Linked DNA regions of Lepisosteus oculatus. The protein of the gene in region 4 binds, or shares a complex with, the protein of the main gene of each other region. Links are inferred from orthologs where the notes say so. Each region holds a gene or a part of one and is shown on either strand. Other genes may lie near its edges. The genes, in order: grm4, casr, rgs2 and gnai3.

Region 1 (7,142 bases), about 11 Mb from region 4:
TTCTACAGTTAGAATTTACAATGGTCAAAACTGGCATCCAATTAAGAATAAAATACTTCACAGCACTAGTACTCAAAACGCAGCAGCAGAAATTATAGCAATAGTAATAAAACACTACAGATTTGTGTAGCTTTATCTTGATTGCAAAACGTCACTGAAATGTTTAATTCTTCTTATTATCATCTATTTACATTTTCTTGTTTCCGGAGTTCAAGTTCACTGGTGAATCTAACAGACGTGGACGAAAGCGGGAGAGAACGGGCAAAGCGGGTAAGAGGCAGAGGCTGAAAGTGGCGAGAGCAAAGCCGAACGCTGGGCTCCTTGTTCAAGGATCTGCGGCGATCTCCGTCAACTGAGGCAGCCTATGCGCTTCAGAATGTCTAGAGGGAATTCTTCTGCACATACCTCCGGTAGCGGAAAAAAAGGCACGACTTGGAAACAAATCCTGAGAATTTCTCTTTGTTCCCTGATGTTGACTATGTTGCAGGGGGCGTGAACACGTCAACTGAGACTCGGATTAACAGCTTTCGTATTTAAAAGACCAAGGGAGAGAAGAGGGGGTACACATGAATTGCATTGGCTCCTCAGCAGGTGTTGTATTGAAAAAAATATGCAAATTGCTTCATCAAAGACCGACTATGCCCAAATCGGGGAAAGGCAGAAAAAATACATTTTATGAGAAGTAAAACAGGCGCACATCTTTTATCTTTACTGGACAGCTTCTGTTTCTTATCGCTTGACTACCAGAGATTGAAACTAACCAGTAAAAACTCCTTTCGCCCTTCATGTCTCTGGGCATATTTAGCAATATAATATTTCTAAAAACAATTGAGACGCGATGCCGACGCTTTGGGGTATGTTAGAGTAATCGCAGTAACTGGTCATAAAACTAATTTGTAGTACTGAAAACTTTCGAATTTGTGTGCAAAACTAAACTTTCACCGAGACTATATTCACGACTAAACATTGCAATGTAGCAGCACTTTACATTATAGAATGTAATTTTTGCAATAGTCTTGATATTATCCAATGGACTCCCATATTGTAACTAATGATTATAAAGATTATGGTCTAAATCATGTCATGTTACAGTAGACACTGTTTCCCTAAAAGACAAAAGCAGTCTATATAAAGTAGGAAAACGTATGCAATTAAACGTATAATATGGTACATGCTTTTCACATACGATATTTGCGCTGTATCTTTATAAATTGCGAGATAAAAACCCAGCCAAGGAAAATACATAGTCTCTCAGTTGCCGACACACACTCCCTCTGTTGTCAACTAATTCCGGATCTTGAAAGTACGCTCTGCGATGTCAGAGCGTACCTTGTCGGATTTCCTTGCAAGTCAAGAAAGTGCCGGTTTGTGGAAGAAACGCCTTACCTTGGACTGAATTCCGGTGTGTGTGGGGGGTCAGATTTCACAATCCAAACAAAACGATGAGGCTCCGCGTTCAAGAATTCGCAGCCCTACGTTGAATCCAGAGCATCTTGTACCTCTTCTTCGCTTTGATTTCAAAGATTCGAGCTGCAAAAAGCACGCTCGTTTCTGACTCTATCGCTGGCCCTGCGGAGGATTGTTTAACCTATACACACACATTGCTGTCGGGGTGCAAAACACAGATGCTTGTTTCGCTCGTTGGAGTGATGTAAATAATTATACCATCTCCCAGCACGCTGTCTTCTTCTATTCCAGTTCACTCAATCCACCGTGCACAGATCCGAAAGAAACTCGAGCAGTGCCGTACACGCCGCCAGTTTGTTTTAACGCTGTCCATCGAAAAGTGGTGCTTGAAAAAAAAGCGCTAACAGGCAGGTCCAGATTCCTGGCTCCTTTTGGCTTTTTTATACTCAGCTGTGGTTCTACAGAGCCACTCGCGTGTAATATTAAAAATTAGCCCTTTACGACTAACCAGATGAAATCCTGTGTGAAGCCGCTGTACTTAATCTTGTAATACAGAGATTTAGTGGCAATGAGAAATGACTGATATTAGCATAGCGCACTCCCCCGCCGGAATGGGGCTGAACTAAGAAGTCAATGCAGCGGATCGTAGATCTAGCCGAGCAGATTTGAAATTAAATGCACCCGAAGCGAATAAGCGAATAACTATAATAAACCCAACCGCATAAACAGACGTCTGCTAGATGCTGATACGTTTATTCTTGGATTTTTACTACCCTAGCTATCTTTACAATAAAAACCGTCGGAATCGCAGGAAAATAAAATCAAAGGGAAATTCACATATTAATTTTTTTTCCAAGTTTTCCTCTCTCTAGTCATCCCGTGCTTCCAAAACATTTGCTACCACACAGGTTTGCAACTGAAGACGCCCCTGTTTACTTTCTCGGAAATTGCCGTTTCCTTTTCAAAGTTATCAAGAAGTCGGAATGCGTAAAACGGTAGCGAGTTATGGTTTTAATGATCCCATTCGACTTTCGCAATCAACAAGAAGGTAGTCAGTCCCACAGGTGTCCATTCTGTGTTTTAAGCAGAGTAAACCGTCTTTTTCTCACAACAGGATAATCCGAAATGTGCCTTTTCTCAATCTTTACTAGAACGGAATGGTGCTGAGCTCTTCCCAATCGAGGAATAACTTAATCGTTTTCATAGCCAGGGGTGGTTGATGTCGAAATGAATCACGTTTTTTAATAAACTGCAAGGCTCTGCCGCTGGAGTCAGTAGATTTTTTATGCGCTTTTAACTGGGTGACGGGAAACATAAATGCTCTCCAAAAGACACCAGCCGCTATGTCCGAACCGAGATGCTTTAAGGGAATGAAACTAAAAAGCTTGTATTAACCCGTACAACATCACGAGCAGGTGTGATATAGAATATTTATAATAAAAGCGTCAAGTTCACAGGCGTCCACTTCTACCCATCTGTGAATCCGTGCGTTGAGCGGTGTTTTTCAATGGACTCCTCGGTAAAAGAATTAACGCTGCACGGCTGCTGTTGCTGCTACTGCCGCTGCCACTACACTGGATGGTTATTACAGTACATCGCTGAAATTATGCAGCTGTCGCCTGGGCTGTGTTACACTGCTCACTGCTGGGTGATCCCAGCTCCAACTGCCCTGGAAACTGTCCACGGAAGAGAACGAGGTACTGTGGCTGTGACTGTTAAGAAATGAGCTGCAATACAGACAGGTCCGCCTCAATACGAAAAAATCTTTGGGGTAATTAATACCATGTCATTAGCCACCTAGTGCATCGCACCGGGCCTCCACCTAACGAGGGTCGCCTGATTAAATACACTGGGGGTCAGAAAAACTGCAAACCAACATTCCTGCGTCTCCCGTGTTTAGCAGCAGAATGCTGTCATCGGGATTAATTAATACTCAGTGTAACCAAATATATATATATATCTCCCTTTCGGTCTCTGTGCGGAATACACGTGTGCTTTACGCGCTTTAACAGTATTTTTCTCCTGTGCTGCGTTTGTGACTTCAGTTTAATCGCCTTTTCTCTCTCAGTGCTACCTGCTTCGTTCCATACATGAATCGGTGTCGTGTCGTGGGTCAATCTCTGACCGCTATAATCGAGCAACGTGTATCCTACCAAAAGGGATTAAATATTCGAGCAACTGCGAGTGTAATGAGGTGGGAACAAAAAAAGAGTAACTCGGTTAAAGCATTTAGCTTAGGATACCGAGATCAAGAAGCGGGCAAACAGCTGATAAATGAGGTGGGGCAGCAGACATTAAGAGTCCGCGCACGTTAGCGCAAAAAAGCAAGACACTGATTTTTTTAGAAAAAAAAACGAATAAATAACGCAGGGGGAGAAGAAGATTTGTTTTCTGCTCTGAAAAGCGCCCCCCTTTACAACAGTGAAACAAATGTTGGTGCATTAAATGTCAGCAAATGCTAGCAGCCGTTTGATTTACTTATCATTTGTACTCCGAGATATTCGCATTTATCAAGCCGGCGGAGGCTCAGGCTGCTTGTAGCCGAGAGAGAAGCGGTGGGTGGGGTGGCGTTTGAGTGACCGAGAAAAGACGCTTCTCCTCTCTGAACCTTTATCGCTCAAACCGGACACAGATGTGCAGAGGGGTCTGCTGTTATCAGCACCGTTCACTGCATACTGCACATAATGCAATATTTATCATCCACATAAATCAATAAGGTTTCATCAGAGTCAAGCAATTAACCCTCTACGCGTTCAGGGGATTGCGTGGATCAAAACCAAAACCTCAAAACCAGCAAGCAAAACATAATAATGAACCTAAATGCAGTCCACGTGTAGTCCACTAAAATGTCGGAAATAATCTCTGTCCCATCACTGATTCTTCAAATTTCACTGTAAACGGTCTGAAATTCATCCAAATAATCAGGTGGTTCGGTATGGTGTTCCCATCTACACTTAATTATACTGTGTTCCCAACATCTGTATCTTGCTAAATCGAATTGATATTGAATCTATTCGATGGTTGCCCGCTAACGATACACTGAATTAATTTACGAGTACAAAAAGCAAGTCAGTGATTTTTTTACTGGCGTCACTAAACTTTTCGCGTCGTCGACGAAGACCGGTAGATGTTCTGTGATTCTTGTCTAACCTTAGATTTGTTCCTGAAGCTATTATATTGTAATTAGTGTTTGATCGCCAGGCTTCCCGAGTAAATGAGTTTTAACGGTAGCCTACTCGAAATTTCAGATGTTCAACTATCAATCGGTCCTATTGCTAGTAGGGTCTTATATTTCGGACTGTATTGAGGAAGAAAATGCGAGTAATAGGTCCCCTAAATTTCGAACAGTGAAATAAATTCATAGGATCTATCATAGTACTCGGAATCACTCAAAACGGCGGAATTTCGTTTTTTTTACTCTGCCATAAAGCTTAAATTAACGCATTATTTGGCAATCCCTTAATTGGAAACTTTTCAGTTTGTCAGCATTTTAGTCCGAGCATTTGAAATGCGAGGATACATTTTCTGAAACATGTCACGCAAGGAAAGGAAGTCATTAATCCTTTCCCTGTCTTCTTGTATTTTTAAAGACATTGTATCCATCTAATCCCTTTCAAAGGGATTTAATATTGACCTGATGCCTGGTAAACGGTAGTCCGCAGCGAACCTAACAGAAAAAGTAACAGAACAAATGATCATTGCGGAGATTCCTCGGTTTCTCTGTCCCTCCCACTGTTTGGAACAGGATCATTGCCTCTGGGACAGAGACACGAGTCACAGACATAGGAGAGAAAACACTTATAGCAGACATGTTGATGCAGAACAGAGTATTTTATCCCCCCCAATACTTAACGAATTTTATTTTCTTCTGAAGGTTGAAGGCGCCGTCTAGTGCCATGAATTGCCTCCATTTGGTATTGATCTAAGTTTAAATCATGGAACCGACTCTGTTATCTTCTTTTCTCCCCACTTACCCTGCTCTTTATCTACTTCCTCTCGAATTCACGTTTAAAATTCAAATTCGTCGTGCATTATTGGCTTTTACAGTATCGGCAAAGCATTCGTGACGTTTTCTCGAGTTACATAACTCAGTGCACGGCCAAGTCTTTCGCTGCTGAATTAAAAAAGCATTTACTGCAATGTCGAGTACGCAGGCATTGCCAAGAGTTTAGTGTTGAAAGAAGGAATAACTGAACCGGAAGAATGAAAAGAGTCGTTAAATAAACGTGTACATATCTCGCTGTTTACAGTTAATTACAACTTCTTGTATTAACACGTGTGAAGTGTACTGTATGAGTCTCTCGTTTTAATTTGTTGCTGCGTGCGATATTTTATTGCCTGAATTGTTGTGGTTCCGAATTCTTCGACATAGTTCGGCAGTCCTGAACTTTGTATGCCTATACAGAGGGAACGAATACGTCTCTGGCGCGATCTATTTAATCTAATTGCTGGACCCTGCTGGACATCGGCGTTACCCATCGCTGTTGTAAAGAAAAATAAAAACTTTGTCCTACTACAGACTGCACTTTATTTCCTCTTTCTGTGTAAAACACAATGGATAAATCAATATTTAGGATTTAGTTTTGAAGTATTTAAGCCTATGCATAGGCTAGCTATTTTTTGTCACTTTTTATTTGTTTTGGGGGGACGGGACATAAGGGTTCTTTTTCAAGGTATTGTATACAGTAGCTGCAATTGTATCTTGAATGCTTCAGGATGTAAAAGAAATAACTCATCATTTCAATTAAGATGCTATCAAATACCTTTTTACAGGGGTTCATTGCTTAATTAAGCATGTAGTATAAAACTACAGACTCAATTTATCCCTCAAGCCCCCAAAGGCATTTTATTCAAAATACTGAATACCCAAAAGCATCTTTATGCCAGATGTGTGTCTTAATGTCTAATCTCTATTCAATAACAGCTGGCTTCAAAGTTGTTGGAAAAAACAGAAGATCAAACTGGCAAAGCAACAGCAAAGCTAATCTCCACTCATCTCTGTTAATTTGATCGCATTTTAACAATACATATTGAAAAATTGGATTTTAAGACATTCATTGATCTTGCTATTTTAAAACTTTCCTTTTTTAAACCAATTCAGAGTGCTCCAGTTTTTTTCCCTTTGTTTCAGTATGCTGCAAAGGTCTATATTCTTTGTACAAATCACGAGAAAGTTACCCCCCCACACACACTGACTGCCAAAATATCATTGCAATAAATAATTAATACACTCTCCCAGGATAAATGCTGACTCAGATAGCAGATAGAGGGATTGCTCCATTTTTAACGTCAATGCTAGAGTGCAATATAAGAAACACAAGGTACTGTAAAGCATGATTCACTACACATTGCTCCTTTTTAGTGCTTTCCACTGTACTTTGCATTGGGCTGCATTTTGCTGTAGATCTCTCGCCTACACATGATACTGTATACTTTACATATTGTACTTCAAAATACAGAGTCAAAATCATTAACAACTACAAACAGAACAGAGCAAGCCTTTGTTGGGTAGTTAGATTGTTTTTGGTAAGAGGATAAGTGTTTGATGATGCTCTCTAGTAAGATTTTACAAACTCCCACATCTGAAATCTAACTGCAAATGGAATATGCCAATGCCAGGATTCAATTTTAACATGAAAATCAAGTGTCATGTTCAATACATCTGTATCCATAATGCTTCACCATTTACATTCATAAGGTGTTGACAAATAGATGCTATTGTCCTCTATTATCAG
Region 2 (7,617 bases), about 36 Mb from region 4:
TGAAGCACGGCTACAATACGCAGAACTGTGCCCATGTCTGCTTTTCACATTCGGAGAGTTTTATTGTCATGACTGATGAGCAGGGCCAAAGCAATAACAATTAAGGTGACATTTACAACCGCAACATCATAAAATTACCTGAGAGGCTTACTCTCATCCTGAGTTTTATAAAGGAGTTTCTTCCCCTCCTACACCAGTAGGACTGAAAGCTGTTCTGATTCTGGCGGGTCTGTAGATCTGATTTGTTATTTTAGGAAAAGAAGGTTTGTCTAATCTCCTAGTAAGTTTTATACAATGAAGCAGTAATTGCTTCTCTGTCTCTGCAGGCTGTGCGGGCACCCAGACCTTTTAAGTGTTTTTGCATTCATTTTCAGTTTGATGGATCCAGGCCTTTTGCTTTCAGAAGTGCACCGTTTTGAATGCGCACATCTGCATATGTAGTACGAGTATTTAATCCTGAATCCCGTACTCAGTGAATTCATCCTTGCACGTTGTACATTGGGGATGGGCTATTCTGGTGCTACAGTGTATAGCTCATAGTCACTTTGTGATTGAAGGTATGCAGGAATGGTAATATTATTTGTCTTCATTTGTACAATTTCTAGTCAAGAATACAGCTTCAAAATTGATTGCTGTTTTTGTTGTTCTCCTTCATGGAGAAAAACAAATTACTTTCTCATTCTCTGTAATAATGAAGATCCTTACTCTTTTCTCAGTGTCTCCTTGTCAATGGGGTTGCTTCATCGAGTGTTGACGAACCGATCAGTCAATGTTGTTGTCATTTGAGATTGCTTTTATTTTCAACAATGAATTGATTTTTCATAAGTAGGAACGCAGACCAAGCTGTTGTAAATGTTGAGCTTTCTTTACTTTTCCTGACTGTGCCTGAGGGAAATATGACTGATGTTTCTGTGACTTAATCAGAAGCCAAGAACAGATCAGATCTCTAGCTGGATATCAAATTCAAGACCATTTTCTTCTTCTGTAAAGAGGAAGAGCAATCAAATAAAATGTGCAATGTGCAGTCAATGAAATGAAATTTATAGAAAAAGAGAAATGTAATAACAGCTTGGTGTTTTAGTTGTTCTTTGTATTTTTAAAAATTAAAATAGCGTGTTAAGATTTTCCAAATGTGTTATTTAAGAGGTTGAATTATGGTTTAACAGCAAATGTGCTCAGTTCCATAGAATTGTCATGTTTTTACCTAGTGATGCTGTATTGCACAGCTTCTTCTTAAGAATTAAAGTACAATTTTTACTATGTCAGGTTTCGCACACTAAGTGTGCTTGCATTGTAAGCAGCAGATTAAAACTGAAATTGATTTTTTAAGCGAAAAGATTCCTGGACTGATATGGGAAATAATGGCTTTGTCTTTTATACATATATAATAAATCATTATAGCACTGTATGGCAGAAACATAGATTGTTGGGCCTCTCTCCCAAGTATCCAGTCAAGATGTTTTTATTTTGTGATGTATCACTATATGTGTTCATTTGTTCCTTTTTTTTTAGATAAAATGTGATCAAGAGGCATCTTAATTTTCTACCTGTGCCTGTTATATGTTTCTACAGTATAAACTTCCCTTGGTTGACTCTTTCCTATATAGTATCTATGTGAAACTCACTATTTGGTTGTGTGTTGTAAATCTGTAATTGTAATGGCATGTTTTAATCAAAATTAAAAAAAAATCATTGTATCGATACCTGATCTATTTGTTCCACGTCAGTCATTTTTCATATTCGTCTTTTTCCTTCCTTTATCTCTGTGCTTCAATGTTCAAGAAGGGGATCATCCCCATCCATGAGGCCATGTGAAATCTTCCCCACCTCTTCACTGCTGCCCATTGGAATCCAGGGACGGGATACCACTGGCTGAGGGAACTGAGGATCAAACTGCTAATTCCGGAAGCACATCTTAACACTCCTCACATCAGCAGAGGGAAACAAGGAAATGTCAAGAGCTGCACAGAGTGCAAGTTTATTTTATTCTCAAAACGATCTCTCAAGGTCTGCAGATTTCATGACGGAGATGGAGATTCTGCTCATCACTCAGCTTCTATCCCTCTCAGTCCAGAATTCCCTCGTGTCATTAGGCCCTGAATTTAATGATTCACCAGCTGACGTCATCCTTTAAGCGAGCTTGGTGGTAAACAGGAAGAAAAATAGGTTGATATATAATGCTTAAGACTAGGTTCTTCAGATTTTAATTGGTGAAGCAGTAGAGTAGACAAACACTGGTCCTGGAGGAACGTTGTCTCTTCTGTTTTTTGCACCAGCAGTTTTCCTAATGACAGGCTAAAGGATTTCAGTTTTCTACCTGGGGTATATTTGTAAATTTACTTTCAATAATTGATATAACCCTATCCCAGTTCCTGGGCCTTTGAACTACCCTCATTCAGGTGTGTAGCCTGGACATCTGGAGAAGGAAAGAAGTCTCATTATAGGCATGTCTGGCGCAGTGTCACTCCCAGTGTGTCTTTTACAGTGTCACTTTGTGTGGGCGTGACCTGACCCAGTGTCACTCTCAATATGGGTGTGTCTGATACAGTGTCACTCTTTGTGGGAGTGATCTGACTGAGTGGCACTCTCAATATGGGCGTGTCTGATACAATGTCACTCAATGTGGGCGTGTCTGTTACAATGTCACTCTCGATATGGGCGTGTCTGATACAATGATACAAAGGAGTTGAAACCTAAACATGCAAAGTGGATAATTAATTAACACTGGAGTGCAGATGTAGAACTCAGCTGGAACAGAAATCGGGAGAGACAATCCTCCTTTAGGACCAGGTTGGAAACCACTGGTGTAGCCTATATCTGGAGAGCTTTGTAGTTCCTGTCATCAAGCCAGCAGCCATATCACCATGCAACTCACAGCTGGCAGCCCACTGAAGCTCAGCAGGTGTAAGCCTGGTCAGTACCTGGATGGGAGACCTCCTGGGAAAAACTAAGATTGCTGCTGGAAGAGGTGTTAGTGGGGACAGCAGGGGGTGCTCACCCTGCGGTCCATGTGGGTCCTAATGCCCCAGTATTGTGACGGGGACACTATACTGTAAACAGGCGCCGTCTTTCGGATGAGACGTAAAACCGAGGTCCTGACTCTCTGTGGTCATTAAAAATCCCAGGGCGTTTCTCGAAAAGAGTAGGGGTGTAACCCCGGCGTCCGGGCCAAATTTCCCATTGGCCCTTACCAGTCATGGCCTCCTTATAATCCCCCTCTCTGAATTGGCTTCATCACTCTGCTCTCCTCCCCACTGAGAGCTGGTGTGTGGGGAGTGTTCTGGCGCACTATGGCTGCCGTCCCATCATCCAGGTGGGGCTGCACATTGGTGGTGGAGGGGATCCCCATTACCTGTAAAGCGCTTTAAGTGGAGTTTCCAGAAAAGTGCTATATAAGTGTAAGCAATTATTATTATTATTATTATTATTATTATTATTACCTACTGATATCATAAGTCATGTAACCAAGACAGGCTCACTTCGTACATTGCCCTGATATCAGCAGAGGCTAATGGCTGTGTGATGCAGGAGGCCGGAGATTCACGTGTAGCCATGACGATCTCTGGCAGCGAGCGGAGATTTTATCCCTAATATGATGGGTAAAGTAAATACTCACCTGTCTGTTTCATCATTACCTAATGCAGTGGGGAGTGCAAGTCGCAATAAATACTGTTACTTGGGTAACGCAAAGCTGGACCCAATCCCCTGTTGTGGTAGCCTGTGTATTTAGGAAAGAAATGTTTTTTTTTTTACTTATTTACCACACTGTAAAACTCCACGGGGGGAGCTGAAAAGTTGTAAGTTAATTACACAACCAGCTTTTATGTCCTTTTCGGGAAATAAAAAAGAAAGAGGGATACATAAATATTTGTCATCTCTGAGCAGGACAAGAAGACTCATTTGAAGTGAATGCGTGTGTGTGCTTCAGGTGGCCGGCTTGGTTTTGTGATGGGGGCACTGGATCTCCCCGCTGAAGTTACATCGTGGGCTGCTCGGCCTCACTAGCGTGGCTCCAGAGCAGTTATGAGATCCACTGAGCCCTGGCCGTGAGCGCACAGCGGAATAGCCGTGCACCCCGGGGCTGTGTGTATAATGCCGTGTGTGCTGTTGTTACAAGGTGCTGGAATAACGTCTGATCCAGTAACAGGCTGTTCTCACCAGTTTAATGTGTTAAACACACAGGGCGGAGGGAGGGGGGCAGCCCTCTCCCCCACCCCACCCCCCTCCCCTCACGGCAGCACTCAGACATGGATTGTAATTTCCACAAGACACAGGACAGCACGCCAGGACCAGCTCAGCAGGCGATCGCCTTTTTCCTGCGCGCCTCGGGTGGAAGATCCCTCCTTCCGCGCCCGCGAAGACAGCGCGTCTCATCCCCCCGGCCGCCCCGCCGCGTCGGCTTGGCTCGGCTTGCGGAGCGGACTTCGCCGAAATGCGCTGAAGAGCCAGCCTGCGCTCGGGCATCGTCTTCGGTTAATGTGTAACCGAGGTTACCGCTAAGCTGCCCTTTGCTGAAAGATACCGTGAGAAGAATTAATGCTGGAAGTGAACGAAATTGATGCCACAATCCTAACACTATAAACATAGAAGGCTCCAGTATTACTCGTGTCGTGTCATTTGGGAGCATTTTATTGAGGTAAGGTTATTTCTCACTTGGATTCCACTTTCACCGCACGAAAACCTATTAAAACTTCCTGATTATTCTTGAAATATTATTATAAGTAGTTGCCTAGGGTAACTAGGGAATTCTCAAGAGTCTTTACTGAAGGACCGAACTAAAGCTATTTGCCCGAATTGCTTGTATGTCGTGTGAAAAATGAGAGTTTAATTACTGCTACAGTTTCAGAGATTTTTAGCTAGTGGTTACAATTATGAATCAGCACCTTGAAGGCAAGAATGGAAACTTTTATGAACGAATTGTTTGAACTTAAAAAAAAACTTCTGTAGTGTGTTTTAAATTTTGTTCTCCAGATATAGTTTTGTCTCACTCTGTCCGAGACAAAGTATGAACAAAACCTACGAAGTATAACCCTGAAATCGATTTCCTCAAAATTAAGTCTATAATGCTTCATATTTTCTGTGTCGAATGAACAGCCAGTTTTTGTTTTCACAGCGCTGAAATTATTTACAAAGTGCTCAATAATTTGCATTTGGCAGCTACAGTCGCATTTTCTAAAGGGTATTTCGATATTTTGCGTCTCTGTGGAGCCATTGGCGAGTTTCACGTCTTTAGTCGGAAACAGTGTAAGACTCGGGGTGTATAATGACTTTTCCCGTTTCGTGAATACGTAGTGGACGGGGCTTCAGCACCTGAAAGTATTGCTACCGCATCGACTTTGGTCCGCAGCTTGGTACCAGATCAGCTGTCAGTATACCGGTGCCCACACCCCGTCTCAACACTGGCTGCTCCTGTCCTCTCCCGATATGCCCCAACACACCAGGGGCTCTGGTCTGCAATTAAACCAGCGCTTTCTAAAGCCTTGGAACAATTTCACTCTGATCAATTCGAAATGATTTGTCAAAATAAGTCATCTTGGAGTTCTCAAATATTTCCTTCAACACGTTGGGTTCCAGTCTTGAGAAACTGATGGTTTAGGGCTCTCCAGTTCCAGCAGTGGCGACGGCCGTCTTATTACTTTAATTATTTGCACAACCTCAAATGGAGCTTTTAAGCAAATGTATTTCCGTTTAAAAATAGGAATACTTTACTTATCTACTTTCCTGTTATCTGTTAATCTTGTCGAACATACATTTTCCAGAGCTATAATAACAATAAATATTAGGCATAGGGACAATTAAATGAACCTATATCGAGACTCTGGGTTTATCTATTTGCCTTCAAAGATATATTTGAATAGATATGTGTATAATCACCAGAGTCTGAAAGACCAGACGAGACAGCTGGCGCAGTTCTTGCAATACAGTGCAGTTTATACTGCCATCGGTTTCTGCAAGCCATCAACAAGATGAAACACACGGCTTGGATCAAGTCCAGAACAGCGCTATATAAGTGTAAAGAATTATTATTATTTATTCAGTCTTCTTCCGACTCTACTGTACATTTGTAAATACTAAGTGTAAGTTGTTTAAAGGAAGTATGCACGTCCATTCTTCCTATTCTGTAGCATTTCTTTGATCATGATTCAGACAGATGACAAAATACACACACTGCCTGCGCCAGAGCTGTCCTGCGCTGTTTCTCCGTGTCTGTGTACCATGGACTGTCCAGACAGCGTGTGTGTGCACGGTAGGTTTCACCCTGCATTCAACAGCAACTGAGAACGTTCATTTTATAATGTAAAACACTTCACATCGCTTGTTTTTTTTATATTCTCTAAACTCTACATTGAATACGTCGGATGTAAACTGAGTTTTCCGCTGTCTTTGCAACATACAAGTCAGCATGTAAAGTATCTGCCAAAGCATGCTCTGTTCCCTGACAGGATTAGGGTGCTAAAATGTTCTGCAATGACCTAAACATCCAGTAGTTTCTTCTACTCAGAAACCGGAAAAATGAGAGCTCAAAACGAATTCATAAATGTTTCAGGTGTAAATGATTAACAGGTGAATATACAATCTGTGTTGGTTTAAAAAATCAAGCTGCTGTTCTACCTAGAGGAGAAGGACAAAAGGAGTGTCATATCAATAATACACATTCTCCGTTTTTGCATGATCAAATTTCCCTTTTGGAAAGACGTCTTCTATAATAACACCACGGATGTATTGATGAAGTGACCGCAGCAGTCTGGCTGTGCTCTGCGCATTCTTGCCACATACATGTGGTGTGCGATTGGTAATCGGCAACGGTAATCAGCCTCTGTACAATCTGTGTTCAATCTTTTTTCCAGCATCACAAGTGGCAAGGCTTAGTTCATTAGCACACTCCTGCCCCTGCATTTTTCCAACGCAATTAGTCCCTCTCTGCAGGTCAATGAGACGTGGCAGGGCGCGAATCACACCAGCGCCCAGGTGCTGGCAGAGGCCTGGTGTGGAATAAGGCTACAGGGATGTGACTGCCTCTCGGAGCGCCGATCGTTGTCCTTCGCCGCCCCCCTCCCTGCCCCCTCGTGGGGCTCCACTAAGGGACAGGCACGTCTCTTGCACCAGCGGCTTTCGCAGGCCTCGTGGCTTCTCGACGCTGTTCAGATAAAACAGGGCCCGGTGCCCACCCCTTGGTATGGACTCCAGGGACATGTGGGGCTCAGTCTCTGCTGCCTGATTGTGTCTCGCTTCTCCACAGTGTATACCGTAAATAGGTGTGAGAATTTTCTGAGTCCCTTTTCATAATGTGATAAAAAATGTTTAGAAATATACATAACACAGGATAAAAAAAAACCCGCAAGATGAACAACATGTAGAAAAAAAACACTTCACTAGGCAGCAACATTGCGAGCGGATCTCAGTATAATACAGTATAAATTAAGGTCACTGAACATCAGTAATACCATTTCCGGATTAATCTCTGAACTCTGATCATGAAGCAAGTAATTGTTCTCTCCTCTGACGTGTCTCCACTTTAACAAGGGCCCTGGAGACAAAGGCCCTGAGCAGCGCAGGGACAGTCATTTCCTGTGCGAGACCGATTGATGCCGCTCGGTGATTGTGTCCCCTGCTCTG
Region 3 (7,573 bases), on a different chromosome or scaffold from region 4:
TTTGGTCAATTATTAATGTATCCCTTTATATGAAACAAACTTTCAGTATATGTGTTTACTAGTATAAACTTCCTTATCTGAGTTTATGAACTCATGCAAATAAGTTTGCATTGCGATTCCTTTGGCAGCCAGCTTTTATTTACAATTTGAATAATGTGGATTAATACAAAGCTGGTATTGATGTCAAAGCCTGTTACAGATATATTTGCATTACATCATTTAGGAAATGGAAAAAGTACAGTTTGTAGAGCACAGATGCTGTAAACACCTTGTGTAAGGAACCAATTTAAATCAATGACTTATGCATTGTGAAGCAGTGAAAAGCACTTTCAAATCCAAAATCAAATTAATATTGTTTATTTTCAGTTTTCCTTAGCAGTTTATTCAGTTCATGCCAGGTTACAAGCAGTTTGGTATGCTCTGACCATGCAAGTATTTAATGAGGCATTTTGAAGTTCACGCATTAATCAGCTGTAGGCGGTGTGAAAGGAAACAATTTACACATACTGTAAAAGAAGAAAAACAAAATGGAAAAAGAGTTTGTTAGTTTATGGTGGGACTGAAGAGGTGGTCTTATTTTAAAACAAATGCAGACATCTCTGCCTACTCATGTAATGCACTCACAGCTCGGCACACGAAAGGTCACAACTAAAGGTTTGCAGACTGCATACCTCAGAAATACGTGGGCTGTATTGTTTCCAATGCTCTTTCAAACAAATTACAAAGTAAATAAGCATTCTTCATATTAGTTGTGTTTCTTTTTAAAACAAACTTGAACATTTTGGTATTATGACATTCAAGAACCCCATAAATGACAAGCTACAAAACACAGTAAGTATATTTACTTTCAGGAGCATTTAATTTTTTTTTCAGTTTTAAGATCTAATATGAAAAATGGGGAAGAAGTCATAAAGTTGTTGGTGTTCATTTTCTTTTCTTTTTTTTTTCTTTTGACTTTTTCTTTTTGTTTTAAGAACATACAAACACAGATTCCCAAGTCCGCAATTGAACCCAGGCCCTCAGCATCATGAGACAGCAATACTAATACTGCACCACCACGCTGTCCTATGATGATAATGATGATGATGTAGTAGTAGTAGTAGTAGTAGTAGTAGTAGTAGTAGTAGTAGTAGTTTGCAAGATGTCAGAGAAAGATTTGTTTGCATGGAGTTAAATTGCAGTCATTATGTACAGTCAGAGTAACCTGAATGTACTAAAGGCTTTAAACATTTATAGATTTCAAAATTATAACAACTAAATTACATAGAATATTAAGGTTGAGGTATATCATCTTAATTTTAATACAAAGGAAAATGAGTCATTAGTGTAATTTTTTAATGTTTTCTAGTATAGTACTCGGTAGACTACGATTAGAGGCACTCCCTGTCAGACAGCAGTCTTAGTAGAATTTAATGATGGTGGACAGAGAGGCTCAAAATGTCCTAAGATTTTCACAATTTCTGATAAAAATAATTCCATTGTGATTTTCATTGTGTTGTGTTCCTTCTTTCTTTGACTGTTTTCAGTTTAGGGCTTTAATAGACTTAATCAGGTTTCTCTAAGAATTACCATCTATTTTCCCCTCTTGATAAAATTTTCAGTCCCTGGTGATGAGTGGCAGCCACATAAAATAAAACACCTTGCTTTATAGTAGAGATGGTGTTGCCTTAGTGATGCTCTGAGTTCAGTTTGCTCCAGACATAACTCTCAAATTTAAGTTAAAAAAAATTGTGTCATTTGTGTTTGTTCCAAAAATATTTTGCCATGTCTCTTAAATGCACAGTGTCGTACACTTAATGCAGGATTTGAGATGGTTTTGCAACACAGGCCAGCTTTGTGGAATGATCAGGATATTAACAGTAACTGCTGTTACTGTTGGTCTCATGGTGGCATTCCTAACCAGATTCCTTTTGCCCAGCTGTTCAGTTTGGAGGAACAGCCTGATCTAGCCTAGCCTATTGGTTGGGTGGTACTATACACTTTTCTCTTTGAAATAATCAACTTCACCCTGTTTAAAGGGACATTCACTGTTTTTTATTTTTGCACCCTTCTCCCGATCTGTGACTTTCGCCACCTTTATCCCCAAGACATTTTTAAAGCTTCCTGGTGTTCATGGACTATCTCATTGGGAGAACTTACAGAGACTGGTATATTTATGCTGAAAGCATGTGAACCACTGTTATTGCACACAGAGGCCATTGAATTGAACACGTAACTTTTCAAAGTAATTTAAGTAGTTTGTCAAAGGGATTAAATACTTAACCTAACAACGAAGTGCAGTGTTTTATTTTTCTTTCTGGTTTCTGGTTTCTGGTTAATGCTGACAAGATTAAGATTACAAAAATCACTGTAAAAGTGTATACATTAATTACACCAGGTGCACTTCAGGTGCTGTGTATCACTGCCTCCCTTATAAAATTCTTTTAAAATGGTAATGCTGAGGTGGTAACATTTGACACGATCAAGACAAAGTTCAGAATTTTGAAATCTAGACTGTTAACAGATGATTCTTTTGCAAAAATTAAAACAAAAAAGAAACTTTTTAAGTACTGTTGCAGAAATGCTACTTATTGTGAAGTTCTAAAACATTAACCTCCTTGTGACACAAACATTATTTCAGGGTAAAAGTGGTGGGCTCCTGCAGTTGCCGAAATTAACCACATCTTTTTTGTTTCACTGTAGCAATGACCTGTGGCTCATGAAGAAAACAGTTCTATCTTTCGACAGCATTCATTTTGTGCAGTATCTGTAACATTCAGTGGCACATGAAGCAAATGTGAGCTGAGATTCATGTTTTCAAAATGGAATGAAACCTCCTGTGTAATACAAGAGGCTCTCCATTGTACTTCAGCCAACAAAATGTTTGACCACAACAGCAGTATTACCTCTACAATCTGGGAATAACTCGTTCAAACTCAAGTCTGTCACTATCCTATAGCCAGTAGGCAGGAAGCTTGAAGTCCCTAGTGCCATTATTAAACTAACTGCATGGTCACTGCATAAGATTAATTACAGCTGGCTAGACGTTTCTCGGCTTAATTCACATTGTCAACTCCTCAGTGCTACAGGAAACCTGCAGGATACTGGTGTATTGACAGGGTGTGGCGTCATGCCCTTATGAGTTTCTGTTTAGGATTGCAGTTGGAAAGGAAATGATTGTCTAAATGAGTGTATGTCCTGCGTACAACTTTGAGGTGTCATTTTCCACAGGTCAGATCAGGAGCAGAGCCCACGTCAGTCTGCAAATTATTTGGTGATTATAATTACATCATTTGATAAATTACATATGAGATTATGATGCATGTTTTTCTTAGATATGTTAGTCTATTCATTTTTTAACCAGCTTTTCCAGTTCCTGGTCGCAGCGGAGCTACTGTGCTGGCCCGTTTTTGATCATTTTGAAATGTGATTTTTTTCATTTATCTCACTTCTAAATAGAGCCTGTGCCCTTGATTTGTTAGGGTTATAAATATTTGTCACATAAAATAACTGGCATTTTCATTTCACCTTTTCACCTTGAATAGGTCAAAGGGTAGTGTATTTCTACTGCGTACTATACATATTATTGTCATGGCCTGTTAGGAGAACTCTGACGTGGCTCAGAGAGTTGCATCAGTCACTATTTGTGCTTTGACCACAGCTTTTAATGTTCCGAAAAATCCTGTAGATTCATAAGGATGGTCATATTTTCCTAAGGGTAAAACCACTATAAAATTTTATGACTGTGTTAATATTTACCCAGGTTATACTGTAGTTCCCTGATTCAAACAATACTGTTAACAGATCCTCTGCACTTAACACATTTAGCTTTCAAGGAAAATATACATATTTTCAAACAAAAGTATAATCAAAGTTTTTCACAGGGGTTTTGGGCAGTCAGAGGTGACAGTATTTGCAATAATTAACAATTGAAAATGAAGCTACAAATGAAAAATAAGTAAAAATATGAGGGCTTAAAAATCAGGTAATAGGACTTCAGCAGGAACCAAAGTAGGACTTTGAACTCTGTTGTTTCATCTCTGATTTTTTTATTAGTCGTCCCCATGAATGAACAACAGAAGAACGGACTTAAAATGAAACCTTTACTTCATGGGCAAATTGTCCCCCACAAAGATTCAAACTTAAAAAATAAAAAATAAAATTTAAATGAAAAAATGAAAAGGCATAAAGGACCTTTTAAAACATGAGAAGCACATAACTTGTCAAGAGAAGTGAGCATTGTGTTTTCCATGGGAAAAAAAAAAAGGTTTCTGTTTCTACCACAACCAACTATAGACAGACTCCAATGCCAAATTCACCAGTGTAGATAGCAAGCATGAAGAAACTGAATTACAGCTATGCTCATCTGATAAAGCAAAGTGTTAATTTTCTGTACTTTAGCAAGAGTTACGCCTGTGCTTTGCCTGTGGCAGTACTTTGTGTACTTTATACGTCACAGCTGTACCCTAGTGAGAACTTTTCTTACTCAAGTAACACATAGAACAATTTGTCACCAGGCAGCCAATGGTTTTCCAGAGCAGGTACATGTAAATCTAACACCGCCTCCATGTCTGAAACGCTACACAGAGGACATAAAGCTCCACACAAACCAGATTGAAAAAGACAGTGAGGTCTGTAGGAAGTATTTGTGAATAAAGGATGCAGAGTACATTATTTTTGCCCCTGTTGTACAGCTCAGAACAAATGGATATGGCTTGCTTTAGCGGTGAAGAGATGTCAGAGGTCCCAGTTGAAAACAAGAGAAACAAGTAAGTATCTAAATAATGATAACATTTGCATTTTCACTATGATTTATAGATTCTTCTACAGTGTGCAAGAGTGGAAAATATGGCATAAATATGCTTATATAATTTTTAGCAGTACATACTGTACAATGCAGTGTAGTGTTTAACTATAATCATATACTACAACTAGGAACTAGAGGTAATAATAAGAAGAGAAGCTGTATACAAGGACAGATACAGATACCTATAATGTGGCATTTTGTTTCCAATAACAGACAAAATAACTGGAGATCAAGGATAAGCTACTTCTTGCAAAAATCCTCCTCTAAGGAAGCCCATTCCTCAAGACGTAAAGCCTACAGGTAACATATACAATCAGATTTTAAACTTTTTGAAAGATATGTTTAAGAATACATGTTAATTATATATGGCTTACTGTGGGATTTTAATTTTGCATCTGAGTGTTATTGATGACACTCAGTGAAATTTCATTCTAAAAAATCATGTTCTTTCATGACAGACCTACAGTTGAAGAAGTAAACCAATGGAGTCAGTCTCTTGAAAAACTTCTGTCACATAAATGTAAGTTTTGTTTTCTTTCTTTATCATGTCAAGGATTTTGAAGTGAATATGCTAGACATCAGAGCGGGGCCTAAGTCAACAGGGCACAGGAATTTGTTTCTGTCATTTGTCTCTCAATTAATATATGTGCATTAACAGAAAAAAGTGAAACAGAGAAACAATGCTACACACATGCTGCAGTGGGCTTATGATTAAAGTGGCTTTGTGTAAGCTTTGTGTTACTGCTTGGTTTTGCAAGTACGTTTACAATGTTTTTCTGTCTACATTATAGTATTTGTTCGATAAGATGTTTATTTTTTCCTTCCTTTTAAAAGTATTATTTTCTCTCATGTATTGCAGATGGACAGGCTGCATTCCGGATATTCCTGAAATCAGAGTTCTGTGAAGAGAATATCGAGTTCTGGCTTGCCTGTGAAGATTTTAGAAAGATCAAGTCACCAGCGAAGCGAGCCTCTAGGGCAAATACAATTTATAACAAATTCATCAAGAGTGAGGCCCCAAAAGAGGTCAGTATGCATTTAATGACATTATTAAAAAATGTTTCGAATGGGTAGCTGCATCAGCATGCGTAGGCTTTAAAGGAACAAGTAATAGGTTTATTCCATGCTGAAAATGTTGTTTCGGCCATGGAGCTCACACCTGAAGAAGGCTCCACGGCTGAAACGTTGTGTTTTCTTTCTTCTCTTTTCAGCATGGAATAAACTTATTACTTGATTATTTAAAAATGACTACATTACTGACACCTTTAATTCCTACATGCTCTACTCTCTTACTTAAATATAATTTCTTTAAAAGTGTATTTATTATATATGGAATAAAATTCTTTAGAAATATTCTGACTTCTTATATCTGCTATTATTTATTTGTTTCAGATCAATTTGGATTTTCATACAAAAGATACCATCATCCAGAATCTTCAGGTGCCAATGACCTCTTGCTTTAATGCTGCACAGAAAAGAGTCTACAACCTAATGGAGAATAATTCATACCCACGATTTTTACAGTCAGAAATCTACAAAGAACTGTGGGCAATATCTCAAGGGAAAGGGAAATACCTGAAATCATGAACCACACCGGGGGCTTGCATAGTTTGAAAGCCTAAGGAGCCATAGCCTATGGCTATGGAGTTTGCATAGCCAGATTGCAGAAAATACTGTACTGAAAACAGTATCCACATCACCACAGAACTCTATGTTTTTAAAAGATCCCTTGTGAGTCCAAGGAGAAAGTTCACTGTGTGATATGAGCTGTTTTTAAAACAAAGGTAATAGGTGACCATAGAGGATGACTATAAAATTTCAGTCATAAAAAGCTTTAGGTAAAGATGCATGTAAAACAAACTTAATAACAATTTATGTATTTATGTATATACTTTCAATTTCAAGTTATTTTGTAAATTAAGTAATTCTTCCATGAGCAGTACAGTAACTAGAAAAAATTATAACCAAAAAAAGAATATATGTTTACACTAAAGTGCCTGAAACTGTATGAAAAGTCAAACATATTAAGTTAATTTGTGGAATGGTATATGAGCAAGTTACATTTTCTAGTACTTTTTCTGCTGGTCCACATGGAACCCAATTCATACCGCTAAAGACAGGTAATCACTTGATTCCAAGCATTCCTTGACTTGTAATAAGTCATGGCCAAAAATAGCTACATACTGTACATCCCATCACAATGAACAGTTTACATACTGTATAATTACTGACACAACATTTGTTTTCCAAATACGGATTGATCTTAAGAAAGAGCCCGTAAACAGAGTCCGTAAACAGTGTTTAAAGGGTAACTCTACACTTTTCAGAAATTATAATTTTAATAAGAGTTTTATTTCGTTCATTTACATGAATGATTTAATTCTTTATCTAAGACATGGCTTACATTTTAGTATTATACTGTAATTTGAAGCATTTAAAAATTCATTTCAGGAACAACAACTTCCTGTTTCTTTGAATAACAGAATTTAAATGGAAAATGAATAAAGAGTGTGTTTCCTGAACCTCAGGCAAATAAGTCAAGAATGTGAATGTACTGAATTATATATATATATATTCTTTATTATATTTTTATTTTTATTTTGTATCTTTTATTTTCTTTAGAATTTTACAAAATCACAATTGAGGTTGATTCTCAAGAGCTCATACTTATTGAATCCCCAAGTAAATGTTAAAAACACAGGAATATGTAACTGTAGGCTGCTATGTTTTTACATTAACAATTACATTTGATGATTGGATATATGACTTTCTGAACATACAGTAAAC
Region 4 (8,031 bases):
TGTGGAACAAGCTACTTAACAATGTTGTTGAAGCCAATACCCTGATTTATTTCAACAAACAGCTGGATGAGAAGCTTGGAACAATCAACTACTAAGTAGCAAACGGACCGGATGGGCCCAAAAGCCTTGTCATGATTGAACCTGCTCTTATGTTCTTAAGAATACTGGTCCCAGAACCACGCAGGATGTCTACATGCGCCCAGTAACAGGAATTGTGAAGGATACACAGTATATCACGATATGTGCAGTATATGTACACAAATGCACTGTGATGAGCTGCCAGTTCCCAGCTTTTCCGTAGCTACATTGTAATTAACCACACTAAAAACAGGGAAATTGTCATAGGAAGGAAGAAGACAAATTCAGGCAAAATGGGGTCAAAACACTGCTAAGTTTTAAGTGATCCCAGAGAGCAAGGGGAGTGTGAAAACAGGGTGTTCTTCTGAATAAATACCTTATTGAGAGGAATAGAGGGATCTGTAATTGGCTCTCCAGATGTTTTACATGAAAGCCTCTTGGCCTTTGCCAAAGGGAGAAGAGCTCATCCTTCCTCCTGCCACTCAGCTCTCCCTCCTGACTGCTGTGGACCTGCGCTCCCCCAGGGACCCCCAGGGCCCAGGGCCCAATTACCACCACAACGACATTCAAACGCTCCAAAGTGAGCGCTGGAAGTCTCCGGAGTGATAGAGGGAACGGGAATGCCCTGAGGTGAACTGAAGATGGGGTCACTCTCACTCACAGTGCATTAATGGGCTGATTCTCCTGGGGGCGGCAGAGAAGGGGCTTTCAGCAGGGCAAAATGCACAGCAGTGCTATTGCTGATGCACCGAGTGGGCAGCAGCAGCTGTGACTGGGATACATGTTCTGGTTCTTCAAGTTCTAGTCAGCGCAATCCAGCTGCAGCCCCTGTGTGCTTCACCCTGTAGTGTGTAGTTAAACTGATGGCTTGCACAGCAGCTGCAGAGGGTGAAAATGCTCATCAAATCTTTACAGCCTTTTCCAGTAATCACTCACACTTCTCTATGGGTCTATTAGCTAGGCCCTGTTGATCGCAGGTGGACATTATAGTTAGTGTTGTTGCGTACTGCACTTTATTTTTGATGAGTCCTAGTTGTGCTTAGACATTCTATAAATCAAATGAAAGTTTACTTATCAAATGCACAACAATACAGCTACAATACAATACAACTTCATTGCCAGTAGTTGCTGGTAATTAAATGTCTTTTCTGCCAGCTCACAAAAATCACACAAACACAAAAATCACTATAAGCAAGTGGAGAAGGTGGCGTGACTCTATAAATTCTATTGCAGGTCTTTGGATTCCAGCACTCGAGCAGGTTAATTAACACATTCAGCCCAGAGCTCCCTGTTCGACCTCTTTTGCACACCTCTCGATGTGTTACTGTGGCTCTGGGGTGCTGGACACTTTTCCTCGTGTGTTCTCCATCCATGCTGTGTGTGGAGGTCGACCCCCCTCTCGGAAACGCAGCAGCACCATTCCACATGCCTTCGGGTTCTCTGCGATCCGCGGTTACCATGACAACCCGTCCTCCATGACATTTTTATTTTCAGGAGAAGAAGGGGGAAGCGGGGACTAGTTGAAGGAGGAGCCCTGTGTTAAAAGACAGCTACTGTACCTCCCCCACTCCCATATCTCCAGTTTAGCTCGGCAGCGTTTAAGGACGTTCAGGGCCTCCTCCTTGAACCCTTCCGCTTGACTCACGCCGTGGGTTTTGATCCGGTTGTGGGCGCAGCCTCATCTTCCATCCCGGCGCCCTGAACGCGCCCTGCTCACCGGCCGGCCTCAGCCCTGCGCTGCTCCGCGCCGCGCCGCGCCGCCCGTGTCTTTAACTGTCCCGTCTGCACTGTAGTTTCGCCGGAGGCTAGAGTTTTCACCAGCGTACCTAATTCACACACTGTAGGTAAACGACACACAAAAGACATTTTCGTGTCGTTTCCGTTTCCCCCTGACCGATTTTGAATTGATGGGACATCAGTGAAAAAGAGGAAAGACCGTTTCAACCCTCTCTCTGGATTCATAAATATATTGAAATAACAAAGCAAGTGTGCACCTGATATGTTTTAACCTCTTTGAAAATAAAACTACAGAGGCACTACTAATATCCAGATCGTGGAGGGCCTTGTTTCTTCTGGTTACTGATCTAACACGAACACCCAATTAAACCATTTTATTTTCTAAATCTGACATATGTCATATTTTCTGTGGGTCTTTTAACAGGTGATTGCACAAGACCTTCTCTTCATTAAAGGTACAGTTAGCTATATTTCACCTCGGACCTTGTTTAAAGGTATAACAATTACGCGGCTAATTAATTTATTAGACCAACTCTGTAATCCAGAAGACCCTCCAGGAAATGAGTGTGAGACCCTTGTTCTAAAACATGGAGTATATTTCGTTAGTGCAGTAACAAAAGGGACTCTGGGATTACATTCCAGACCATTCAATTTCTTAATGCATTGCTTTAATTGGTCAATTCTGCCGCCCCCGGCTACGAGACTTAACTGACTGCTCATTAAGACGCACCTATAAAAACTGCAAGGCGGTAGGACTGGTATGGTCCAGAGTGATATAGGGTAGTGCGGGAGTGTTTGAGCAGAAGGAGGAAAGCGCACACCGCTGTCGATAGGGTCCAGATGAGGGAGGAGATACACCCACAGCGAAAACCCTCTTCTTCGATTATGTAACACCTAGTCTCGGGCGCCCGTATTTAGGAAGTCGGGAGAATAAACCGTATTGTCTTGTTTAGAAAACAGTTGTAGAAGACGCGGGGATCACGAAAACGTTTACAGAAGTTGTGCAACCTTTCAAACGCTTGTTTAAGAAATGTTTGTTGTGCAGAAGGTTTACACGATTGAACAAGTTGCTTCCGTTTAATCCTTGCTCACTTCACTGCAAGGAAAATGAATCCCTTTTCGTTTCCAAGCGGCTATCTGTACATTTCATAAACTTTTTCTGGAAAAAAACTCGTGAATAGAGCGAGAGCTGAGTGGCGCAGCGGATTGGGGTTCAGGATGAGCTTTCCACGCGTGTGCTACAAGATAAAGCCAGGTCTTTTCACCCGCGGCTTAGGCTGCGTTCAGCCGTTTCTGTGCTCAGGGTGGGTAGTATAGGCGGGACTGGCGGTGAGCCCTCCCAGGCCTCACTCTTCCCGAGTCCAGTCTTGAGCGCCTTGGCAGTATGGGGGGGAGCTCGCATGTTATCCCGTTCGTGTGGGTTTCCTCCCACCTCCCAGCGACAGGATCTGCACGTGAACTGGCCTCTCCAAATAGCCCCGGCTGTGTGAGCGCGCTGCTCTGTGCATCGTGGGTGCGGACTGTCCCGTCTCGTCAACTGGACGTATTGGGCAGGGGTTCGAGCTCTGGGGTCCTGTAAGGACGGCGAAAATGGGGGTTTGTTGTCTTCTCGAGGGCGTCCAGAATGGAGCTGGTCGGAAACTGCTTCTAAAAACAATTGCAGGGGATTGGACACTAGCGTAGTGAAGGGCATCGCCTTGTACTTGTTTTAAGTACACTGTTAAACGGAGACCTTTAGAGGTGACCACGGCGTTACATTTTCAGAACAGATCCGGTATTCTGGAAGCTGTCCTGCTGCCTTTTTTTAATAAGCAGCATCAAACCCAGTCTGTAGTACTCAGATTTTAAGCACGTTTTTTAAAAACGTATATATACGTTTATTAAAGTATCCCACGATCTTCTGCCAAACATTCATGACGCGCATAGAGGGTAATCTAGGTAAAATGCAGAAAGCTAAAAATGTTAACAGTAGATAAACGGGTATAGGCAAGTTAAGAGTAACTGTTAATAACAAGCTGATAATATTATACGGTCAGAATGGTTCTTTGTGTGTGTGTGTATGAGTGTATCTGCTCAGTACACTCATACTATATTTAATCACTGTCCCGAGAGCTCCTCTGCGCTTTCTCCGTCGGTCCACAAGACGGCGCTCAAGTACTTCAGACGAACTCGCACCGAGGGACTCTTGACAGAATACGGAGTCGCAGGAACAAGAAGACGAAACGTGTTGCATTGATACATTTAAACAAATGTAGAGTTGACTAACACTATTATGATATTAGTATTGTCGGTAGTAGTAATCATAGGAGCAGAGTATTGTTAAAAGTTAGGGGAGATTAAGATGAAAATGCTTTAAGAAAGCAGAGACAAATTCAACCTTGTCATTTTCAACGTGCGTTAAACATTTTAGCATCGCCCCAAGGAGAATTACAGGAAATCAGAAACCAGACGACCAAGACCAATTCAGACTCATTTCACAAAAGAAATTCAGAAGAAATATTTTTTTTAAATTGTCCAGCTATTTTAAAACGTCACCCTCTGGATTCCGTAAGATTTCCTCTGAAATGGGAAGGAAATGTCTTGCTTTTAAACGGTGGAGCAGTAAAATAAGGTATTTCATAAAAAGTTAATATCAGAAATCCATAGTGTATTAAAAGACTAGGTATATGTGGTACAATGATCAGAGTAATTTTCTACCGCAGTATACTTTCCAAACCGTCTACTGGTGTTGTGCTAACCCTGCTTTTGCAACACTTCTTTATAAATTCACTGCAAGACCTAAATTAGGCAAACGATTAAAGATTAACTTAATTGGTATGAGGCAGCTTTGTGATTTTTTTTAATCCACAATGTTTGAATGACTTTCTTAATTAAGATTAAGACGTTTTCCCCGGAATGTACATTTGATTTCTATTTAGAATATTGTGCGGTTTTCAGCAGACTCCTGGCATATCCCTACAAACTACACTTCCCATCACCCCCCTGCGCCCCGCTCGCTCATTTCCGCTTCCCGTGCAGTGGCTGCCCTCGTTTGCATACAATTCGATTTTTTTTCCTCTCTCTCTCTCTCCCCCCGACGAGCAACGGAAACGGCGCGAGACAGCTACACCAGTAATTTAAAACGCCAATTTAATAAGGGAGAAAAGTGTGAGACACCGATGGACTACTGTTTTTTAATCGGAAGGAAGATACTATAACGCTGTTAGTTTCTTGTGTTTTCGGGAGGGCTGCATTTTAATTTCCGATTTTGTTTTAGAGTTTTTTTTTCTTTTGAGCCAATGCTCAGCTTGTGAAAGCATTGGAGAGGGCAACGCCTGCTTCTCGGCGAAACACTGAAGGTATGCGAGGACACCACGGGATCAGGCCTTTAATTTTGCCCGTTATTTTATTTCGGGACTCGAGTTACCGTCATTAGGGTGTTCTTCTGTTTTCATCTCGGTTTTGTAACATTCGCTGCTTGCTTTCCCATGTGAGAGAGTCGGTGACCAACGCCTTTTTACCCCCACACCCTCCGACTGCTCTTCATTATTTTTTTTTTCTGTCCAAGCCCGGCAATCCCTCAGCCGTTGTCTTGGGAGAGAGTTTTTTTTCCCCCCTCCCCCGTCACTCGCTAATTTTTTGGGGTCTTGGGAATCTGGGGCTACCGAGATGGGGTGCACGCTCAGCGCCGAGGACAAAGCCGCGGTGGAGAGGAGCAAGATGATCGACCGCAACCTGCGGGAGGACGGGGAGAAGGCCGCCCGGGAGGTGAAGTTGCTCCTGCTTGGTAAGCCCGTCTCCGAGTGACCGGTCTTGGAAACCCGGGCAGGGGGGGATCGGTGGCCGTGATCGCTGGCCTCTGTCGCGGACAGATCGCGTCCCCGGTCGGTCTCCGCTGCCGCGAAAAGCGGGAGGCGGTGCCGATCGCGGGGCTGTTATCTGAACTTGTGCTTGTGGAAGAGTGCTCCGATGTCTCATCTGCTTCTGCGGAACAGCCTTGGGAACGAAGTGCTAGAGAAAAGTTGGAGAAAATGTTTCACGGGCGACACAGATCTGCCAAGTGACCGTGTCCGCACTGACCCCTGCGGTCCACACTGCCTCCTCTGTCGTGACATTTAAATGTCTTTTTCTTGCCAAACTCTGTTCAGACTGTCCTTTGAAAATATAGAAACTGATTTCCCATATTTTATTAAACGAGGCTTGTTTTTAACTGCCCGGAGAGCGTAATGCGCAATAGCTGGTCTCTTAAGATGCTCTGTCGTGTATGTGATTTCAAATCGGAACGTGTTTGCTCGGTCATTGTTTGAACTTTTCATCACGGTGAGACAGAGTCTAGCGAGTTATCACCCCAGCGAGTTGTCTGCCGTTCGCGAGTTTCAGAGGCGGTTCCAGGTCTGTGAGACTCGTGATGCGGTGGAACGGGAACTCAAGACAGTAATGAAAGCCTTCCGTCTTTATAGCGAACTGGGCTTTAAAACATCCCTCGGCACAGGGAAGAGGGCCAAGTCTCTGATGCCGCTTATTGACTAGACGTTTCTTTACTGCCCCCAAACAACGAAATAACACAAACGGGAAAACTGGGATTTAGAGAAAAAGATGGACTACAATAGATGGGAGAGCCATGCTTTTATATTCAGTTCGTACAGCCGGCGTTGTTGACAGTAAATCAGTTTGCCTTCGCTCTGTAAGCACTTCTCCCGGCGTTTGTACAGCTGTTGGGAAGCGAAATCCAGTTTTTTTTAGGGCACCCAACTGCCCACAGCTTGACAGGCACTATAAAGCAACAGTAGTGTGACTTTAATAGGCTTCAGAACCTTTTCTGGATTAAAAGATAAAATGAAGTTACTAGATCACCCAATCCGCTTCTGTTAATTATTAAAATGCAGGCTTAGGGGGATAAGGCTGTCCTGGTAGTTGTGCATTTTCCTCAAGCTCTTTAAAGTGGACTCAGCTCTTGTGTTGTTCCCTTGATGCTCTTCTACAGAGCTGTCAGACTCCCAGAAGAAGCAGCTTTCTGATAAAGCCTTGGAAAACATTCAACCAGTATTACTGTTACGTGAGTGTCAAACTGTGGGGATTGTGGAACCGCCAGTGGTCTCCGTGTCCTATGATGTCATTAACATTCCACTTTGTGGTCATGCTAGCTGATAGTGTCTTTCAGTGTGCTCTAATTTGTTTTATTTCAGGCCTGGTGCCAGTGCAAACAGCTATACTGCATTTGCATGGCTGCTGTATCAGGAGAGCCTGTGGCATCGGCAGCTACTCAGATTAGATCAAAGCTTTATGGAAAACTTTGAATTTTGACACTCGGAGACCTGCAATACAGAACATCTGTAGACACTGAAGTGTGTAGTCTTTGGAAACAGTCCTCCGCAGTTAAAATACATTCATTCTGATTCATAATACTTTCTCCCTAGTGTACTGTACCTGGGCTTATAGGGGTATAAGGCACTCTAGATATGTTGTTGAAGTGTAACAAAACGCGTTTCTAGACCTCTGTTCTGCAGCCTTACAGTAGTTATTATATAGAAAAGAGGGGAAAAAATAAATGAAGATAACCATTTCCCCTCCTTTCATTGCTTTTTGGTATTTTATCAAGTTAGGCCTTTCTAGCACATTACCTACAAAGATCAGCGAAAGCTAATGTAAGAGACTTAATTAGTTTTAAATTGCTCAATCCCTGTACTTTTGAAAACGCTCGGTGTCTTTCTTCCTAAAGGTCATGAAAGATCTGCTGGAGCTGGAGACTTGTTCTCTCTGCGTCATGCATGAGCTGCCTGTCTGGTGCTCTCCGCTCTCAGCAGGCTGTTGCTGCTACTGGAGGTCCTTTCCCGATTGCTCTGGGCTTTTACCATGCTTTGGTGCAAGAGACTGTACTTCTCCTGTTACCAGTACAAGAGGACAGATGAGAAAGTAGTAGTTTGCAGTCTTTCAGTAGAGTGTGCTGTTAGGTCCCATTCAGTCTTTCTTCAGTTCAGTACTTTATTGCCATGCGAACAAAGTTGATTGTATTTTTCTCTAGTGACGGTTGCATAAAAGCAAAAAAACACACTTATACATACAATATATTAAGGTACCTAACGTCTAAATAGATGCTATTTCAGAAGCGAGCACTACTACATTTGATGCTTTGGAACATTCTCCCCAAAGGGAGAAGTTTAAAAAAGGGAGTTGGCAGGATGGAAGGGGTCTGTGGGCATCTTCTGAGCTTTCTGTTTGATGCGGCTGTCGTAAATA

What was found.
Region 1: the proteins of gnai3 (region 4) and grm4 are in contact, whole or in part, in a cryo-EM structure (PDB 8JD6), measured with the Homo sapiens proteins. The link is inferred for Lepisosteus oculatus from reciprocal best matches to the Homo sapiens genes GNAI3 and GRM4. Residues at the interface, in NP_006487.1 of Homo sapiens: Ala31, Lys32, Val34, Lys192, Asp193, Leu194, Thr219, Phe336, Thr340, Ile343, Ile344, Asn347, Leu348, Cys351, Gly352, Leu353, Tyr354; in NP_000832.1 of Homo sapiens: Pro616, Lys619, Ala620, Gly622, Arg623, Glu624, Arg676, Ile677, Ile680, Phe681, Gln683, Gly684, Lys685, Arg686, Ser687, Val688, Ser689, Ala690, Ile694, Ser695, Pro696, Phe781.
Region 2: the proteins of gnai3 (region 4) and casr are in contact, whole or in part, in a cryo-EM structure (PDB 8SZH), measured with the Homo sapiens proteins. The link is inferred for Lepisosteus oculatus from reciprocal best matches to the Homo sapiens genes GNAI3 and CASR. Residues at the interface, in NP_006487.1 of Homo sapiens: Ala31, Lys32, Gln304, Glu308, Lys314, Asp315, Thr316, Lys317, Glu318, Ile319, Tyr320, Thr321, Phe334, Asp337, Ala338, Thr340, Asp341, Ile343, Ile344, Lys345, Asn347, Leu348, Glu350, Cys351, Gly352, Leu353, Tyr354; in NP_000379.3 of Homo sapiens: Lys644, Ala645, Asn647, Arg701, Val702, Val705, Phe706, Ala708, Lys709, Pro711, Thr712, Arg716, Trp719, Phe801, Ile869, Val872, Arg873, Thr876, Ala877, Ala880, Phe881, Lys882, Val883, Ala884, Ala885, Arg886.
Region 3: the proteins of gnai3 (region 4) and rgs2 are in contact, whole or in part, in a crystal structure (PDB 2V4Z), measured with the Homo sapiens proteins. The link is inferred for Lepisosteus oculatus from reciprocal best matches to the Homo sapiens genes GNAI3 and RGS2. Residues at the interface, in NP_006487.1 of Homo sapiens: Val179, Lys180, Thr181, Thr182, Gly183, Ile184, Val185, Gln204, Ser206, Glu207, Lys209, Lys210, His213, Ala235, Glu236, Asp237, Glu238; in NP_002914.1 of Homo sapiens: Glu104, Phe105, Glu108, Asn109, Glu143, Ala144, Pro145, Glu147, Ile148, Asn149, Asp151, Phe152, Leu180, Asn183, Ser185, Arg188.

Annotation. Positions count from the first base shown.
Region 1 is NC_090700.1:29,443,706-29,450,847, forward strand, and holds the start of grm4 (metabotropic glutamate receptor 4), read right to left. Parts: upstream 3,213-7,142; 5' UTR 1,387-3,212; intron 1-1,386.
Region 2 is NC_090700.1:3,911,388-3,919,004, reverse strand, and holds the start of casr (extracellular calcium-sensing receptor), read left to right. Parts: upstream 1-4,452; 5' UTR 4,453-4,636; intron 4,637-7,617. UniProt on the Homo sapiens protein: G-protein-coupled receptor that senses changes in the extracellular concentration of calcium ions and plays a key role in maintaining calcium homeostasis.
Region 3 is NC_090704.1:12,399,164-12,406,736, reverse strand, and holds the start of rgs2 (regulator of G-protein signaling 2), read left to right. Parts: upstream 1-4,546; 5' UTR 4,547-4,638; coding exon 4,639-4,748; intron 4,749-4,999; coding exon 5,000-5,086; intron 5,087-5,244; coding exon 5,245-5,306; intron 5,307-5,645; coding exon 5,646-5,812; intron 5,813-6,178; coding exon 6,179-6,373; 3' UTR 6,374-7,573. UniProt on the Homo sapiens protein: Regulates G protein-coupled receptor signaling cascades. Inhibits signal transduction by increasing the GTPase activity of G protein alpha subunits, thereby driving them into their inactive GDP-bound form.
Region 4 is NC_090700.1:39,983,694-39,991,724, forward strand, and holds the start of gnai3 (guanine nucleotide-binding protein G(i) subunit alpha), read left to right. Parts: upstream 1-4,870; 5' UTR 4,871-5,463; coding exon 5,464-5,581; intron 5,582-8,031. UniProt on the Homo sapiens protein: Heterotrimeric guanine nucleotide-binding proteins (G proteins) function as transducers downstream of G protein-coupled receptors (GPCRs) in numerous signaling cascades.